Linked DNA regions of Coturnix japonica. The protein of the gene in region 2 binds, or shares a complex with, the protein of the main gene of each other region. Links are inferred from orthologs where the notes say so. Each region holds a gene or a part of one and is shown on either strand. Other genes may lie near its edges.

Evidence for each region. The genes of interacting proteins can lie anywhere in the genome.
Region 1: SNRPD3 (region 2) and PPIH share a complex: the UniProt entries of both Homo sapiens proteins name them as parts of the U4/U6-U5 tri-snRNP complex. The link is inferred for Coturnix japonica from reciprocal best matches to the Homo sapiens genes SNRPD3 and PPIH.

The regions. Positions count from the first base shown.
Region 1 is NC_029536.1:5,566,590-5,571,702, reverse strand, and holds the start of PPIH (peptidyl-prolyl cis-trans isomerase H), read left to right. Parts: upstream 1-1,601; 5' UTR 1,602-1,670; coding exon 1,671-1,736; intron 1,737-2,034; coding exon 2,035-2,099; intron 2,100-2,359; coding exon 2,360-2,383; intron 2,384-2,752; coding exon 2,753-2,797; intron 2,798-3,028; coding exon 3,029-3,071; intron 3,072-3,403; coding exon 3,404-3,496; intron 3,497-4,151; coding exon 4,152-4,239; intron 4,240-4,769; coding exon 4,770-4,810; intron 4,811-5,113. Other genes in the region: CCDC30 (coiled-coil domain-containing protein 30), read left to right, coding at 543-613, 787-1,000. UniProt on the Homo sapiens protein: PPIase that catalyzes the cis-trans isomerization of proline imidic peptide bonds in oligopeptides and may therefore assist protein folding. Participates in pre-mRNA splicing.
Region 2 is NC_029530.1:7,447,479-7,452,596, reverse strand, and holds the start of SNRPD3 (small nuclear ribonucleoprotein Sm D3), read left to right. Parts: upstream 1-1,815; 5' UTR 1,816-1,932; intron 1,933-2,210; 5' UTR 2,211-2,234; coding exon 2,235-2,360; intron 2,361-3,045; coding exon 3,046-3,235; intron 3,236-4,138; coding exon 4,139-4,200; 3' UTR 4,201-5,118. Other genes in the region: protein GUCD1, read right to left, coding at 401-485, 1,600-1,810. UniProt on the Homo sapiens protein: Plays a role in pre-mRNA splicing as a core component of the spliceosomal U1, U2, U4 and U5 small nuclear ribonucleoproteins (snRNPs), the building blocks of the spliceosome.

The DNA of each region.
Region 1 (5,113 bases), on a different chromosome or scaffold from region 2:
TGTCTTCTTTAACAGAAAGGCTTTTCCAAGCATGTTAGCGGCAAAAGAAGGACTAAAGAAAACATTGGTCTGATGTTCAGTGAGATTGGTCATCTCACAAATGGAGATGAAATGAAGCAGAGACATTTAATGCCTTCTTCACCTCTTTATTTAACACCATTGATGGGCCCTGGGATCTCCAGAGCTGAAGCACTGCAAGCAGAGGGAGTGAATGATAAACCCCAAGTTGACTTTGAACTTGTATGGAATTTGGTGCTAGAACTGAACCCAGTTTGGAAACAAGTGGTTGCAAATGCAAGAGTACTTTCAGGACCTGTTTGTGCAGTCTGTTCTGTTTTCTTTCTTTCTGGTTGCTTGACCTGAGCTCTGGGGTTGGTTTCTTTGTTGTTAAGGTTCAGATTCAAAGGATAGATTTATGTTTAGTAGTACTGTAGAGCTGAGGAGCCTGTAGTGGAACGGGGGACGCCTTCAGGTCCAAGGCTGTATGTTGAAATTGAGGGTCTGACATGCACATCCCCCTTTGAAAGTCTCTGTTGTTCCAGGACTTGAAGAATGCCAACTTCTCTGAACGGCAGCTCCAGAGTAAGGTGTCAGCACCACCTCCCCGTGCCAGGTATTGTGGGTTAAAACAAAAAGGAAGGGGGTGGGTTACTCCTTGCCTGTGGGAAGGCAGGAATTGGGCTCAGCCATGGCCCTGTGCTGCCTCGCAGAGGCGCACCGCGGCTGTGCAGGCGGCAAGGAAACAGATAATGCTTAAAGTGACTGAAGAGCTGAATGTGTTTTTAGTTTCCTACCACGGGAACCACCAGACTCCCTCAGCAGCCTGAAGCCTGTGCTCGATTCCAAGCCTGAAGGAGGAGCTGAGAGCCAGGACTCGTCCTTCTGCTTCTCCCCCTCTCAGCCTTCAGAGATCGGGTACCTGAACGTCGCCTCACCTGGAGACACTGCAACCTCCCAGCTGCAGGAGGAGAGTCAGAGCATCAGCTCCGAGAACATGTAACCTGGGGACGATGTAAAGTGCAGGCTGCCAGGATTCAGGCTCCTGTTGTCATACAAGATTGAAAGAGGGAGTGTTGGCAGATGATAATTGGTGATTTCTGTGGTATCTCAATTATTCAACAGCTGCTTTCTTTAATAATTAACATGGCCAACCTTAAAGGTGTGTGTGTATCTCAGCCCAGAGCTGCAATCTGCAGACAGACAAAGAACGGGGGTGGGATGAGATTTATTTCCCTTCATCTGCACTCCCTGCTTTCCAAGCTTCCTCAATAAAACATGGACCGGTTTCCCTGTGCTGGGCCGTACCGCCGGGTTCCTCCCTTCCCCTCTGCTCTGTGCTGAGACGGGAGCGGCTGCCCCCGTGTGGCTGAAGGAGAGACAGGCAGGAAGCAGTAACGGGATCCGCGGGGCTCCATTCACTCTATGGGGCTCCATTCACTCTATGGGGCTCCATTCACTCTATGGGGCTCCATAGAGCGCTGTGAGCTGCCCGACCCGCTCCCTCCGCTCTACACGCCGTGGCTGCAGGCGGTTCCACAGCCGCCATGTTGTCCCGGCCTCCCCACCCACGTAGATGACGGGATGACGTCACACGCACAATTTCCGCTCGTCAGAGCGTGCGTAGCCCCGCCTCTTTTGCCCCACTTCCGCTTCCGGTTGAGGCCACCATCATGGCGGTGCTGGCGGCCAACCCCAACAACCCGGTGGTGTTCTTCGACGTCACCATCGGCGGGCAGGTGAGCGGCACGACGGATCCGCTTCTCCGGGCCCATCCCCGCCTCATCGGCTTCTACAGGCCGCAGCCGCTCCCCTTCGGGCGGGTTTAGGATCCCCGGCGGTTACGGGAGGAGGAGCGGGGGGAAGAGGCCTGGCTGGGGGGCGGGGGGGTGTGTGGGAGCGGGGTGAGCCGGCCGTGTCTGTGTCTGTATCTGTATCTGTGTGTGTCTATGTCTGTGTCTGTATCTGTGTCTATGTCTGTATCTATATCCATGTGTGTCAATATGTGTGTCTATATCTGTGTTTGTGTCTATGTAGGAGGTTGGCCGCATGAAGATCGAGCTGTTCGCTGACGTGGTGCCCAAAACCGCAGAGAACTTCAGGTGAGGAGCAGCCTCTGTGAGCACGGTACCGTTATATCGTGATATAAACCTCCTGAGCTCGTTACATATCGCAGCTTTCTCAGTATCTCCTCAAAGCTCTGTTGTGAAATGGAAGCGTTGAGTGGTTCCCATTGATTCCTGTTTCATCCCCATTGCAATAACCCAAGTCCTGCACAGCATTCATTGTTGAATGCCGCCTTTGTGCTCTCAAAGTTCAGAAGTGGTTCATACTCGGCTTTTCTCTGCTGTTTCTTTTCCAGGCAGTTTTGTACCGGTGAATTCAGGTATGTGGTTTATCTTCTCCTTTTATCTACCATCCTCAGACAATACTGGGCTGGGAAAGGGCTCACTTGGAAGGTTTCCTTACCTGTGTGAAAAGGGGGGATGCAGATGTCTGTGCTGCAAATTGCAGTGGGATCCTTTTGAGCTGATGAAATGGATGCTGCAAACAGCTGTGGCCATTCAGGGTTTCCCTTGGCCTCTGGTAGTGTGAAATTAAGCTCCAGGATGGGCTGAAGGAGGTGGGTTGGTTTGGTAGGTGATGTATTAGGCCTAATGTACAGGGCGTCCCTTTGGGGGTGTGAGCTCCTGGGAGGGTTTTGTGTTGGGACTTACTGTGAGTTGTAATGATTTTCCTTTTTATTTCCTTGTAGGAAAGATGGCGTCCCCATAGGTTATAAAGGAAGCACATTCCACAGGTGGTACTTCTGCTTTTGTTGAGAGACTCAGTAGCAGTAGGTGGCTTTGGGACCTGCCTCAAGGGCTTCTGCTGTCTGCCCTTTGGGTGCTGTCAGATACTGTTAATGCTCACAGATTGTATATACTGCTCACTGGTCGTATATACTGCTCGCTGGTCGTAGGCTGTAGTGTTTGCAGACATTCACAAGACATTTTTCTCCTGGGAACTAAGTATCATTTTCCTCTTTTAGGGTAATAAAGGATTTCATGATCCAAGGAGGTGACTTTGTAAACGTATGTACTACCACGTTGCTTTTGTCTTTGTCCTGTGCTGTACAGCACACAGCTCATCCTTCCCATGTTTTCTCTCTCTTAGCAGTACGATGGTATAACTGGGGGCTTTTCAAACTTGCAGAGGTTTTCTTTTCACCCTGTTGTCCTTCCTGTTTCTCCCATCCCCCCAGTAAGAGGCAGAGAATCTCCACTGTATGTGTGAGAAGAGATGCTTAAGTACACAAACCAAGCAGCTATTCCAAGGGATAGTACAAATCAAGTCAGGCTTAGTTATTTCAAGTTCACGATGCAAAAGTAAACGCTGTGGCAGACTAATTGCCTCTCTTGTGCAGGGAGATGGCACTGGAGTAGCCAGTATATACAGGGGTCCTTTTGCAGATGAAAACTTCAAGCTGAAGCACTCTGCTCCTGGCCTGCTTTCTATGGTGAGTATAAAATGAAGGCTGATAGCTTTTGGTGTTTCCTCTCTGCACTTTTCCTAACTTTATACATTGTATTTGGCAAACAGTAGGAATCTGCAGTTGGCTGGGGGGTCTGAAAGGCCTGTGTTTTAAGTAGCAGTCAGAAGGTTGCTCGTGAAGTGAGTCCTGATCCTCCAGAATCCTTTCTTCTTACCTGTCAGAGTTCAGGAACACGTTTTATTTGCTCAGCTTCCATAAAGGCTTGAGGATTGCAGATCTGGTACAGTGATGAGTGATGGGTCTTTTTCTTTCCTTATGCCTCTGTTGAACACTGACCTTAGCAAGGAGGAAACAAAGACTGCGGAGTTTCAGAGCCACAGCAGTGTTAGTGTGAAATCTTTTATAACGTTATTTCCCCAGTGTGATGTTGTAGCCAGTAAAGATTTTGTGTACTTGCACACGGTAGCAGGGCCTGACTTGATAATGCACCGTGACCAAGCACAGGTGCTGTCCTGCAAATGTCTGTCTTGTTTCCTTTGGTTTGTAAAGCAGTGAGCTCAATAAAATGTATCCAGGTTAGAGCTAAAGCAGCAGCTCTTTCTGCTGTGAGATGTCTCTGCCTTCAGCTTTGGGAAGTCCTAATTTGTATGCTTTGCATTTTGACAAATTCAACCTGCAGGCAAACAGTGGTCCAAGTACTAATGGGTGTCAGTTCTTCATTACGTGCTCCAAGTGTGACTGGTTGGATGGAAAACATGTTGTGTTCGGTGAGTACCTGCCGTGCAGGCCTGGCATACAGACTCTTACACAGTTTCTGTGGCACAGGGTCAAAAATAAGCAGCTGTGGATTTGCTTGTTCCTTCCCCATCCATTGTGCCAGCAGAGCTATTTGTGCAGCCAGGTATTGAGATGCGTCATTAGGAACATTTTTTTCTCAGCTTAACTTTAATCCAGATCAGATCCTGGATGGTTGTATCATTGTTAGTATATAAATCCTCATGCCAGTGCAGGTGGGACAAGGGATGAAGGATGAAGGGATACCTTCATGAAGGGGCTGGCATCCAAATGGAGCTTTCAGCTGGGTTTGTAGGTATGAGATGTGCTTTCAGAGGATGACTGACTACTTGTACTGCCTCTAGAGCTGTAAGATTTCAAGGCCAGACCTTAAGCTCTTGCCCTTTTATCAGTTTAGAGAGCTGTGCCCAGGCCTCTTCATGAGGAACAGGAATTGTACGTGCTGGGGAAGGCAGCAGAGATTAAAACACAGCACTGAAGTGGGTGTGTTTTCTCCTTCTAGGTAAAATTGTTGATGGGCTGTTGGTAATGAGAAAAATCGAAGTAAGTGGAATTTGCTTGTTTTTCCTGTGAGATCCGTGTTGGAAAGTTGTGGGAGAGCAACAGTGGTTATTCTGTTTTCTACTCTTTAATGAATGCCAGGGAATACTGCTGACAATAATGTGTTATCAGTTGCCTTCATTGTAAGATAATAGGAAATCCGTTGTGACAAAGTCTATTGAGATTAACTTTGGGAATGCTGTGGCCTCGTGGATGCTGGTGAGGCTTTGAGCAGGGATTTTGTTCTCCTGGCTCGATTTGCAGCGTTTTGCATTTGTTCAGGAAGCTGAATTGAAAAGCTGTTCC
Region 2 (5,118 bases):
GTATACTCAGAAACTAGGATAAACCTATCCACTGCATAATGATATAGAAAGGAATTACGTGACTTGCTGTGGTAAATACCAGTTCTGAATTGTAACAACAGGAAAGAGGGATAATTTCTTATCAGCTTAAGCATACCAAACTGCTTAATTGTTAGCTCAGGGCTGATCAATCAGAACAGTTATTCAAAAGGTCTTAAGTTTGTCTTAGCTTGTAATTTCCCTTCTGGATTGCTGTGCTAGGCCCTGGAAGCAGTAATTCTCCAAGGTATTCAGGGATATGTGTTCTTGCTAAGCAAAATTCACAGCTGCTCCAATACACCTCATGTCCCTGCACATTGCTTCCTGATACCCTCTCCCATGGGTTGGGATTTCCCACCCTTCCAATGAAAACAGCACTTACTGTAGCACCATCCTGGAGCAGGCCAGCCCGCAGTCCCAGTGGTACAGCTGCTGAATGATGGGCACTTTCAGCTGCACACATTCACCTGCAGTGAAAACACCCCGTGTGAGTAAAATGTAAAAGCTGTCAGTCGTTATATGGGAATGTTTTTCTGTACTTCACCATTCCAATTCAGCTTGTTCTCAGCTCTGTATTCTGTGCCAACAAAAAGTCATAGGTCAAATGGGTAAAAAACAGACACAACCAGGATCTCTAGGCAGTGATTTCTTACAAGCCCTATGGATTTCAGCCTCTTCTACTGCCATGTCTTTTTGTGAGTAATTTTTTAAGGTAAGACAGCTCACAAATGACACCATCTGTAAAAGGGCCAAAGAAGAGAGACAAAACCCAATCTATATCAAGAAAATCTGCAATATCAGTAATTCATCCTTTGTTATTTCTTTACAGGCAGTAGTAGTGGTTTCAGTTTCAGCAAAGCCCAGATTGCTTGATGGACTGAAGTGCTTCCGCTTGGCATTGTAACTTCAAAGACAATCCAAGTGAGTTAATCATAAAAGGCTTTTCTTAATGACTTTACCTTCGATCTGGTACAGACCCTTGGAAACCTTTGCTAACACAGAGTCAGCTCTGCTTTCAGATGGGGATAAAAAGCATTCAGCATCCTGGGGGCTGCTGCAGTTTCAACACAGCTTTATATGTAAAACTTTATGGACAATGTCTTGCAGTTTTAAACTGTTTTCTCACTGAGTTACGGCTTATTGCAGCAACAACGCGGTGCACTTTCTCAATCACGTCACTGGGTTTAATCATAACTTTGAAAGCTGGCACACACCCATTGGTGTACTCAGTGTTTGTTAGCAATGTTGATTATACTTTAGAAGGACAAACAGCCCCTCAAATCCCGCTTGAAGGAAGTAATGTAAGCATTGGCGGTGTGTTATGAGCTGTGTTATGAGCAGGTCCATTCTCTGTTACCATCCAGGGCCTTCTAACACCACAACTCACTGTGGATGTCCCTGTTCTCCATACACTATGACTTCAAAGGTAACAACCAGGCCCAGCGCTGCCCGCTTCTCATCCCCACCCCCAACAGAGCTGTCACGGCCCGACCCGCGGCTGTAAACAAGGCGGAGCACTCTCAGCTCCACCAAGTGCTTGACAGGCCGCCCCCGATCCGAGGCCCCGGAGCTGTCACTGACCTGCCTGCGGAGGGGGCTCCCCCGGCTCCCGGGGGCTCCTCATGACGGCGGCCGCCCGCTCACTACCCGCCCCGCCGGACTTAGGGCCGCGCCATGCCCTGCTGCGGCGACGGCTCCTCCCGGCTGCGGAGGGGGCGGACCCCGAAGCGGCTGCTCGGAGCTGGGAGGGAGGGAGCTGCCTTCGGGAGGAACAAAAGTGCAGCGGAACCATCGTGATAAGGCAGCGAGACCCTGAGGGACAGGAGCAGTAGCAGGATCCGCTCCTGTGCCCTTCCGATTCCGGGGCTCTGTGCACGGCGGGAAGGCGGCGGCCATTAGGGTGGTTGGTGGGAGGTGAGTGTCGGTGGGGGTTTGTTATAGGGTCGGTTTGTTATGGGGTGGGTCTGTTGTGGGGGTTTGTTATGTGCCTGCAGCTTCGTAGGGCGGCAGATGTGGGCTGAGAGGGTGGGCTGCCCTCAGCCTTGGGCCGGGCCTTGGGATAGGCGTGTATTGCCAAAGCACTGAGGCCTTTGTTCAATGGAGCAAATCGGCTCCTGTAGGCAAAGCCGAACTGCAGAACGACTGGGAGTTTGTTTCCTTTATTCACTTCTATGTTGTGCTCTCTGTCCCAGGAGTAGAGCCGCAGTGTTGCAGCCATGTCCATCGGGGTGCCCATTAAAGTCCTGCACGAGGCAGAGGGCCACATTGTGACCTGCGAGACCAACACTGGGGAGGTGTATCGTGGGAAGCTCATTGAGGCTGAGGACAACATGAATTGCCAGGTAAAAGAAGTTTATCTCATCTGTTTGGAAGTGGTTGCACTCAGCAGACTGACAGCGGGATTTAAAGACCTTTTACTTTTAGTCTTAGGATAAATAAAGCCCTTTTACTCTGTGCACTTACAGTAATGAAGTGAATTCCAGATTACTGAGCACACCAAATTGCTCAGAATTGGGATTTCCTGTTCCTGGTTCCTCTGTGAGCACCTTCTCTTCAGCAGTTCTTTGTTTATTGCCTGTTGATAATAAATAAACTCTAATTTATGAGCTTAGAGCTGTGCTTAATGCAGAGGACTTTAAGGCATTGCAATAGCCTTAATTTTGATAACTTCATGCAAGTTGTAGTTGAAATAAAAATGTCCTTAATAGCTGGGACCAGTAAAACTTTATTTAAACTATCTGAATAAGAAAACAAAACTAATAAAACTAATTAAGCAAGTGGGGAGGAGGGGAAAATAGTGAGTTTGCTTAAATTTTAGCAAGCTTTAAGACTGTGTTTAAATGGTTATAGATGCCTTATATAACAATAACAGTTGAAGGCTGTATGCTTGATAGGGCTTTGAGTTTATTACTTGAATCTTGGCTATATATATATTCCATGAGCAGGAGTAGTGGGAGTACAAAACTATGTTTAAGGCCACTTAAAACAAACTGTGTTTGAGACCACTGTCTGATCTTTACTTTCCAGATGTCCAACATAACAGTGACATACAGGGATGGGCGAGTGGCGCAGCTTGAGCAGGTGTACAGAGGCAGCAAGATACGGTTTCTCATTTTACCAGATATGCTGAAGAACGCTCCTATGCTAAAGAGCATGAAGAATAAGAACCAGGGCTCTGGAGCTGGCCGAGGAAAAGCAGCTATTCTCAAAGCTCAGGGTGGGTACAGTGTGTTTGTGGTCTGGTGTTCCCTCTTTACCTTCCTGTTTTGCTGTACAGAAACTGAGATGTTTTCATCCCTAACACTAAGCAAAGATGAGCTGTAAGAAGCTGAATGAGTGACAGCAGTCAAAACTCAGACTGATGCACAATACTGATACTGCAGATAGTTCAGGAACAGTAAGTGGCCTTGCTAGAGTTAGGTAAAACTTCACCTTTGGTTTTCTGTAAATGTGGTTGCTGCCTGTTTGGATTACCCAAAGTATGATGATCTAAGTATTCTTAAGCTTAAAAAATATATATTTATATATATATTTATATATATATATATATATATTTATACATACATATATATATACACACACACACACATATACGTACACTTGGTTGATACTTTAAGTTTTTTAAATGAGTAACTGTTAGCCATTCTGCAGTTCATCCTCTTTAATACCTTTTTTGTGTGAACAGTCTCGTTATAACAAGATCAAGAAATAATCATGGGCTCTGAAGCCCTTGGTTAACTCTACCAAATGCAGTAAGGATGTGTGGGGGAGTAACATCTGACAAAATATAGCGAGTTCTGTCACGCTGTATGAAGAGCAGGAGGTCTTAAATCTCTCTGGCTACAGATTCACACAATTTAAAGTAGGAACAATGGTGTGTTACTATTTCATTGCTCTTAATGCATACTCTGTTATGAATAGCAAAGCTGTGTAGTTGTTAGTTACAGTTGTTTTCACAGAAAACTTCTATTTACTTTTATCACTTCCCAGGCCTCATACTGTAGCTTAACTTCTGTGCTTCTAAGGAAGAGACTGAGAGTTATTGATGTTTGGTTTGTCACTTGTTGAGATAAATGTGTTGCATCAAATTCATGTCATCCCTGATGTTTTCTTTCTTCAGTGGCTGCAAGAGGAAGAGGCCGTGGTATGGGTCGTGGCAACATCTTCCAGAAGCGAAGATAATTTTGGTCTTGACCAAAATGCTTTTTTTTTATTATTATTATTAAAGGGGCTCTTAACTTGTCTACATATATGTTGGTAACTTCTGTTTAATAAATGTTTCTGACAAAACCCTGTCTGCTGTTATATGACAGAGCTCCTCTTAGGCACAATAGAGTTCTGGCTTCTTTCTGTAGCTGGCAAATACGTTGGAGGTGGATTTCAAAGTGCGTTGTCTAGAAAACAGTGGACATGGATTTGATTTCTTTGTACTTTTGTGTGATGCATTGAGTTTCAAAGATCATCTTGCTTCCTTTTTGTTCAATACTGCTGTAATTTACCCTCTAAAGAGTTAGAAGTTATTCTTCATGAAGAATTTTTAATGTTGTTTTAAGGTTGTGTTATCACCTGCATTTACAGAGCAAACAGTCAAACTGAGGTAGCTCCTAGAGAAGCTTCGTATGGATCTATAATAAATACAGGTCCACCTTCGAAGCTGTACATTGAGTTTGTATTTCTTATTTCTCTCTTTGGATGCGGCGAAAACTTTTCATTAGGAGCACACAGCTGATAGTAGACAGACCATTTTAGCCTGGGTTTGTACTTGCCTGAGGTGATTTGATTCTGACTGTATTGGCAGTTACTTGTTTTTTACTGTTGCCTGGGCAGAGAAGCCTGAATATGGAAGAAAAGAAATAATTTTCAAGCATTGATTTGAAGTGTTTCTTATGAATCTAAATGATGTCTAGGAAAAGTCACAGAAATGATTATCCATTATGTAGGCTGACTTTTTGAACAGGACTTAGGCCTGACTTTAGCTTTTGCTAACATCTATACACGATCACGTAGTTCATAAGCTTATCTATAGGAGGCCAAGTTTAGTTGTAGCTTTAGCTTATTTTTGCTTCAAGTACAATGTAGTTATCTTAATTAATGGTTGAA